Linked DNA regions of Xenopus tropicalis. The protein of the gene in region 1 interacts with the protein of each later gene in a biochemical or structural test. Links are inferred from orthologs where the notes say so. Each region holds a gene or a part of one and is shown in the gene's direction. Other genes may lie near its edges. The genes, in order: limk2 and rock1.

Region 1 (3,819 bases):
AACTGGGTAAAATAGATAGACTGCGCAAAATGAAAAATGTTTTCAATACCGTTAGTTAGCAAAAATGTAATCTATAAACGCTGGAGCGGGCAGATGTCAAATTCACAGTGGATATAAAAAACTTTTTCCACCTTTAATGTGACCTATAAACTGTACCACTCAATTGAAAAACAAACTGAAATCTTTTAGGTGGAGGGAAGAAAACCAAAACAACTAAAAAATGTGGTTGCATAAGTGTGCACACCCTCTTCTAACTGGGGATGTAGCTGTGTTCAGAATTAAGCAATCACATTCAAAATCATGTTAAATAGGAATCAGCATACACCTGCCATCATTTAAAGTGCCTCTGATTAACCCCAAATAAAGTTCAGCTGCTCCAGTTGGTCTTTCCTGATATTTTTTTAGTTGCATCCCACAGCAAAAGCCATGGTCCCCAGAGAGCTTCCAAAGCATCAGAGGGATCTCATTGTTAAAAGATATCAGTCAGGAGAAGGGTACAAAAGAATTTCCAAGGCATTAGATATAACATGGAACACAGTGAAGACAGTCATCAAGTGGTGAAATATGGCACAACAGTGACATTACCAAGAACTGGACGTCCCTCCAAAATTGATGAAAAGACGAGAAGAAAACTCATCAGGGAAGCTACCAAGAGGCCTACAGCAACATTAAAGGAGCTGCAGGAATATCTGGCAAGTACTGGCTGTGTGGTACATGTGACAACAATCTCCCATATTCTTCATATGTCTGGGCTATGGGGTAGCGTGGCAAGACGAAAGCCTTTTCTTACAAAGAAAAACATCCAAGCCAGGCTACATTTTCCAAAAACACATCTGAAGTCTCCCAAAAGCATGTGGGAAAAGGTGTTATGGTCTGATGAAACCAAGGTTGAACTTTTTGGCCATAATTCCAAAAAACATCACCAAAAGAACACCATACCCACAGTGAAGCATGGCGGTGGCAGCAGCATGCTTTGGGGCTGTTTTTCTTCAGCTGGAACTGGGGCCTTAATTAAGATAGAGGGAATTATGAACAGTTCCAAATACCTGTCAATATTGGCACAAAACCTTCAGGCGTGTGCTAGAAAGCTGAGCATGAGGAGGAACTTCATCTTTCAGCATGACAATGACCCAAAGCATACATCCAAATCAACAAAGGAATGGCTTCACTGGAAGACGATTAAAGTTTTGGAATGGCCCAGACCTGAATCCGATTGAAAATCTGTGGGGTGATCTGAAGAGGGCTGTGCACAGGAGATGCCCTCGCAATCTGACAGATTTGGAGTGTTTCTGCAAAGAAGAGTGGGCAAATCTTGCAAAGTCAAAATGTGCCATGCTGATAGACTCAGACCCAAAAAGACTGAGTGCTGTAATAAAATCAAAAGGTGCTTCAACAAAGTATTAGTTTAAGGGTGTGCACACTTATGCAACCACATTATTTTAATTTTTTTTGGTTTTCTTCCACCGAAAAGATTTCAATTGAATGGTACAGTTTATAGGTCACATTAAAGGTGGAAAAAGTTCTGAAATGATTTATCTTTGTCTCATTTTTGTACAGCACAGGAACCTGACATATATATATATATATATATATAAATATTTTTTTTTTTCCTCAGGGAAAAAGCACAGTTAGTGCTCGAAACGTTGGATTTCTTTGCTTAAATAAATTTTCTATTTTTTCAAGTCCTAGTGTGTGCAGCTCACTGTCTTGCTCTATATGTTTTTCCCTAGCACCCTGGGCATTTGAACCTTGATAGGGTGTGCTCCTTTTGTTCATATATATTCATATATATATATATATATATATATATATATATATATATATATATATGCACAAACAGGCAGCTTCGCTCAGGACTTATGAAAACTTTGAGAAAGGCTGTTGACACACCCGAAACATCAGTCATGTTGTACTTTAATTAATTCTATTTATTTTTTCATAAGTCCTGAGCGAAGTGGCCCGTTTGTGCATTTATCTACCCTTAGATTTTGAAGGACTGCACCCAGGCATCGGATGACTTAATTATCGTGAGTGCCTACCATTTGAACTGTATATATGTATATACTAGGCTACAGTTTTATTGTTACTTTTCATAACTTATTTTTGTATTCAGGTCCTCTCCTATTCATATACCAGTCTCTCATTCAAACCACTTCCTGGTTCCTGGTCCAAGTTAATTTGGACCCTAGCCTCCAGCTGCAAAAACTGCAAACTGCAGAGCTGCTAAACAAAAAATTGAAATAATTAAAAAACTGCAAATAATAAAAAGTGTAGACCAATTGCAAACTATCTCAGAATAGTACTCTCTACATCAGGGGTCCCATACCTTTCTTACTCGTGAGCCACAGTCAAATGTAAAAAGACTTGGAGAGCAACACAAGCACCATAAAGGTTCATGGAGGTGCCAAATAAGGGCTAAGATTGGCTATTAGGTAGCCTCTATGCACACTATCAGCTTACAGGGGGCTTTATTTGGTAGTAAATCTTGTTTTTATTCAACCAAAACTTGCCCCCAAGTCAGGAATTCCAAAATAACTACTTGGTTTGGGGGCACTGAGAGCAACATCCAAGGGGTTGTTGAGCAACATGTTGCTCAGGAGCCACTGGTTGGGGATCACTGCTCTACATCATACTAAAAGGTGAACAACCCCTTAAGCTGGCCATACGCGCACCGATACTATCGTACGAAACCTCGTTTCGTACGATATTCGGTGCGTGTATGGCATGTCGGCGGGTCGACTCGCCGATCGCCAGGTTAGAAAATTTTGATCGGGCGCCATAGAAGGCGCCTGACCAAAATTAGCCGTCAGGGCTGAATCGGCAGAAGGAGGTAGAAATCCTATTGTTTCTACCTCCTTATCTGCTGTTTCAGCCCTGACGGATGGTGGCGGATCTGACGATGTTTCGTGCGGCCGATGGTCGCACGAAACATCGTCAGATCGCCACGTGTATGGCCAGCTTTAGATGATGCTCCCATTGTTACAGGAGATAATATTGGTCTTGGAAGGTGAGGTAAATTCATAATAGGATTCTGAGAGGACTTTTTTGGTCAGCGGAAAGGCAGGTGGCACAAATAAAAAGTAAGATTAGTGTTGGGTTATTAAAGGAATAGTGACATTCTTTATAAATGTGAAAGTGTCAATATCCCTTTAAAAGGATGCTATACAAATAATTCTGACAAGCCATTTGGGAGACTGGGAGCCATTAAAGTCATCTTGTATCCCAGAGACTTCAAGTTAAAAGACATATTCCAGACTAACTGTGTTTTATTTCCTGGAAGGGTCAGCACAGAAAATTTGAATTTACTGCACCAGGGAGACCGCATTCTGGAAATTAATGGATCCCCCGTCACCACACTGAGCTCAAAGGAGGTTAGATCAAAAAGTCTGCTTCTGTAAAGGGTCAAAAATAGTAAAAATCGAAAAGAAAATTACCCTTTGTTGGTTTTACAGGACTGGTGAAATTCCCTTAACTTACAGCTTTTTCCCTTCCTTTAACCATTCTAGGCTGATGATTTGCTTTGCTCAACAGACCGGACCTTACAGCTTCTAATAGAACACAATCCCCCACCTAACTTACCAGTGGATAATGCTCCCCCGAAATCTCCCTCTTTTCGTTCCATAGAGGCAAGGGGTAGCACCGAAGGCCCAATGAAACGCAGCTCCATCCGGTCAGACTCTGCCTGCCTCTCAGTGCTATCCTGTACTCTACAGCTCCTCCCTAATGTTACTTTTGTAGCCTGCTGTTTTCAGTACTGTAGATAACTTTTCTGCTGGTCCCTCTTTCTCTTATTCACTATTATGCAACAAAACATTTAGC
Region 2 (4,591 bases), on another chromosome or scaffold:
TTGTCTTGGTAGGTTTACACTTGTGCCATACTCCTTCCATTTCTGAATGATCGCTTGAACAGTGCTCCGTGGGATGTTCAAGGCTTTGGAAATCTTTTTGTAGCCTAAGCCTGCTTTAAATTTCTCAATAACTTTATCCCTGACCTGTCTGGTGTGTTCTTTGGACTTCATGGTGTTGTTGCTCCCAATATTCTCTTAAACACCCTCTGAGGCCATCACAGAGCAGCTGTATTTGTACTGACATTAGATTACACACAGGGGCACTCTATTTAGTCATTAGCACTCATCAGGCAATGTCTATGGGCAACTGACTGCACTCAGACCAAAGGGGGCTGAATAATTACGCACACCCCACTTTGCAGTTATTTATTTGTAAAAAATGTTTGGAATCATGTATGATTTTCATTCCACTTCTCATGTGTACACCACTTTGTATTGGTCTTTCACGTGGAATTCCAATAAAATTGATTCATGTTTGTGGCTGTAATGTGACAAAATGTGGAAAAGTTAAAGGGGGCCAAATACTTTTGCAAGCCACTGTACATCTACAATATTTCCTTTTCTAAGTAAATGCCACTTTAAATGGTAAGATGTGTTGCCCGCAGCTAAATCTGGCAAAAAAAATCTCTCCAGAATGCTTTCCTCTCAGCGATATAGTGAATTGCTGGTGGAAAAATATATCTGTATATGTTTTGCCACCGGTGATTCACTTTATTGCCAGCGTAGGCCCAACCATATGTTTTGTACCCTTACTGAAGCTGATAAGTAACAATAAAATTAAAAACGATAACATCCACAATGTTGAAATGTTACATCAGCGCTGGGAACGATTGTGAAAATTCTGATTTAATATAATCAATCTTAAACTCTGCTGCCAGGATCCTCCTGCTCTCTCCTAAGAGGGATCCTGCTCAGCCTCAATTAAGCTCACTAGCATGGCTGCCTGTCAAACAAAGGATAGCTTACAAAATCCTTCTGCTGACATTCAAAGCCCTTCACTCCTCTGCTCCTCACTACATTTCTTCACTGGTCTCCCTACATGTTCCTGGTCGTCTCCTCCGCTCCTCTCAGAGCCTCCGTCTTTTTACACCATCCACACCCACTGCGCTCTCCCGTCTTAAACCTTTCTATCTCGCTGCTCCTTACCTCTGGAACTCTATCCCTGAATCCCTCCGTAGGGAAAACTCACCCACTCTCTTTAAGAAAAAACTCAGCTGTTACCTTCTGGAGCACTAAAACATTATTTTGCCCAGTCCTGCGCTTAAGGGCAAATGCCCATACCTGATGCACTCTTACCTTCCAATGTGTGCCTGTATGTTACCCAACCACTCAGATTGTAAGCTCTACAGGGCAGGGACCTCCTTCCTACTGTGTCTCATACCACATGGCACTTATATAAATATATATGTATTTATTATATCACTCGTCCTCCCTGTGTGTAATTTTGTATTCTGTAAGACTGTACAGCGCTGCGTACCCTTGTGGCGCTTTATAAATAAAGTTTTACATACGCTTCATTTATTAGGTGACTTAACATAGTTTATATTATCTGTTGGTTAAGTATTTGGGGGTATAGTTTTCCTTTAATTGGGCTGCTGAGGGGTTTTGGCCATCTATGTACAAATGTACTTGAAATGTCAGGGCCTATTCTGAAGCCCAGTTCAGACCTGCTCTTCTACCACTTTTCCCATTTTTTCTAGCAAAGTTTCCCTTTTGTTCTAGGCTTTCCCTATTTTATTCGGATTTCCTCCCATACGGCGGATTAGTTGCTGCTAAGAAAGCAGGGCAAGCCTCATGTAATGAAAGGTTGCAGCTACCGGCTCATTCCCTTTTCACGCTGCCGCCCAACTCTGTGACACTCCTTTCTTCCCGCCCGTCACGCTTCCGTTCCAGCAGCCAGGCCCAGGTGGCTGAAACATTACCACCTTTTCCTGCCGAATTGAGCGTTCATTGAAAACTTGTGAGCTACTGCACGCAGCAGATTGAAGCCGTGTGGCGACTCTATAGAGAAACGTGCGTTCCGAATTAGTCGCTCGCACAAGTGTTCCAGTCAGCGCAATACTGATTTCTAATGTAGAAGATCCGAGCGGCGGTTATATGTTTTTGCTCTTAGTTGGTTAGTATGGTAGTGACCGGCACTTTTCTTCCTGACTCTGCTTCCGAGATTTCGTCGGCTCCGCCTTTCTGCCTCCCCCGCAGCTACTCCTAAGTTTTGGCGCCTGCGCAAAGCAGCGCAGCTTCCTTCCAACCGCCAGTGTCTGTTTGAACAGGAAGGCGGACATGTTTGTAGAGATTCTGTGAGCCAGGGCGATCGGTGCCGCAACGCTGTACAGTAAAGGAAATACCAAGATTTCTTTCAGGCCCTGTACAACGTGAGGCGGGGGAAAGAGCGTGGCAAGAGCTGGTGGCAGTGCAGGCCTAAGGAGACATGATGAGGCGGCGGGGAGGCCAGTGAGAAGGAGAAGAAGGAGGGGGCACAGATCACACTAGGGGGTGCTGCTTGCGGGTGACAGGGCTCTCTGAATTAAGGCCGGAGCTGTCACGGAGCGCTATTTCAGCTGTCACCTGCTTTGCGTTCTTCTCGCAGCTCTCGGGGTGTGACTATCCCCGGGGCGGGGAGGGGTTGGCCCAGGCCTGTGTTTATGTGTCCGGAGGCCCTAGGAGAGGATGCCGGGGCCCATCACACCACACAGCCGGGCCATGAAGCGGGGGTGAGGGACGCACGGACATTAATCTCAGTAATAGGAGGGAGGATCGGGGAGAGATACGCACATAGATACATATACGGGCGCACCCACATATAGTGCCCCCCTGGCACAGCCCATTCTCACCATGTCTACAGGGGACAACTTCGAGTCCCGCTGCGGGAGGATTGATGGCATCTTACGAGATCCCAAGTCTGAGGTTAACACCGACTGTCTGCTGGTGAGTGTCTTCAGCCCAATAAGTTCAGCTTGTGCCAGTGCTACTGAACTACAACTCGGAATGAGGGACGGGTTAGGGTAGGATAGAGAGGGCATTTATTACTAGGCATTAGCAGTGTCCCAGCTGCAGCCCTTGTTAAACTCCCACTCCCAGTTCAGAAGCAAGCTAAAGGTCTACGGGTCATTCACATTCCCCCACAAAGAAATTCCATTAGCAGGCCTTGCCATTTCTTCCTCTGTGGCGTCTGGGAGTTGTAGTACAACAGCAACTGAGAAGCAGTCAATGGAATTTACTGTTTGTATTATATGGCAACCACAATGGAGCAATAAGCAGTGTTTGTGTGTTGGTTATCCAGGACCAGGTTGTGTAAGTCTGTTGGACTGCTAGAACTGGTGTATGGCCATGTGTAGCTTCACAAGCTGTAAATGTAACCGGGTTGGATCCCATTTTGCCTTTTCCATTAAGTTGCACATGAATTTTTGCAGATGCTGTCAGCTGGTTTATTCTTGCAAGGATTTCATTGTTAATCATGGTTTCGTTGTTAATCAGGGGAGAGAAGGTATTTGGACCTGCCTACTTGTACTGGGGATATCTGTCCCATAAGGCTTATGATGTGGGGCATCTTTAATTTAGCATAGAAGAACCAGACACTAGAGGACAAATTTCTGACCAAAATCTGCCTGTCATCTCTAGCCATCTCTATCTGTAGGAATCTCTAAGGCCTAATACATTTGGGGTATTTTGTATGCCCTGTATTCCACTGGAAAACAGTGGCTAAATGCCCTGCTCCACCTGTCACTGCTTGGGAAGTTTGTTTACTATTAAGCGCTCTCAGCTGATGCGCACGGTGCTATGGGGACTAGTAATGTGTGGTTCAAAAAACTTTGATCCATGTGAACAGTGTTCCCCATCAAGCCTGCCATAATGATTTATATACCTGCATCCAACCTGCTCTGACATCACTGGGGGTGGATCTGAGCATGTAAATAACAGTGGCAATCAGTTTCTCAGGAGTGGGGTTGGGACAGGGCAGGAAAGAAGCTGGGCCACCAGTGATCCCCAACCAGTGGCTCGGGAGCATCATGTTGCTCACCACCCTCTTGCCCATTTTTACATTTCTGGCTTGGAGGCAAGTTTGGAAGCACAGAGCCTCCACATGGGGCTACAAAATAGCCAATCACAGTCCTCATTTGACATCCCCAAATAACTTTTTTCACGCTTGTGTGACTCACTAACACTTTTTACATCTGAGTGTGGCTCACGAGTAATAAAGGTTGGAGATCCCTGGTTTAAACTCTCCTTTTCCATGGTTTTAGGGGCAACTCGTTTATCATTAATATTAACCTCTGTGCACATACAATAACTTGATTTTTTTTTTTGTAAAGTGGTCTGCTAGCCTGAGCAAAATTACATGCAGTGACAGACTAAGGCGTTTAGTCCACCACTGCTAGATATCAGTGGCTTTCCAACTGCCCCATGTTCCGTTAGCCCTAAGGGCTGTGGCACATGGGGAGATTAGTCACGGGCAACTAATCTCCCCGAAATTCCACCCCACTGGCTAAAATGTAAATTGCCAGTGGATGGCATATGAGGTGCCGCGATCGATTTCAGGAAATCGCCACGTATGCCATCCCACCGGCGATTTACATATTAACCGGTGGGATGG

The links.
Region 2: of the proteins of limk2 (region 1) and rock1, one has a biochemical effect on the other in vitro, tested with the Homo sapiens proteins (2 studies listed by BioGRID). The link is inferred for Xenopus tropicalis from reciprocal best matches to the Homo sapiens genes LIMK2 and ROCK1.

What each region holds. Positions count from the first base shown.
Region 1 is NC_030677.2:152,021,992-152,025,810, forward strand, and holds part of limk2 (LIM domain kinase 2), read left to right. Parts: intron 1-3,280; coding exon 3,281-3,371; intron 3,372-3,506; coding exon 3,507-3,670; intron 3,671-3,819. UniProt on the Homo sapiens protein: Serine/threonine-protein kinase that plays an essential role in the regulation of actin filament dynamics. Acts downstream of several Rho family GTPase signal transduction pathways.
Region 2 is NC_030682.2:108,394,860-108,399,450, reverse strand, and holds the start of rock1 (rho-associated protein kinase 1), read left to right. Parts: upstream 1-1,534; 5' UTR 1,535-2,832; coding exon 2,833-2,925; intron 2,926-4,591. UniProt on the Homo sapiens protein: Protein kinase which is a key regulator of the actin cytoskeleton and cell polarity.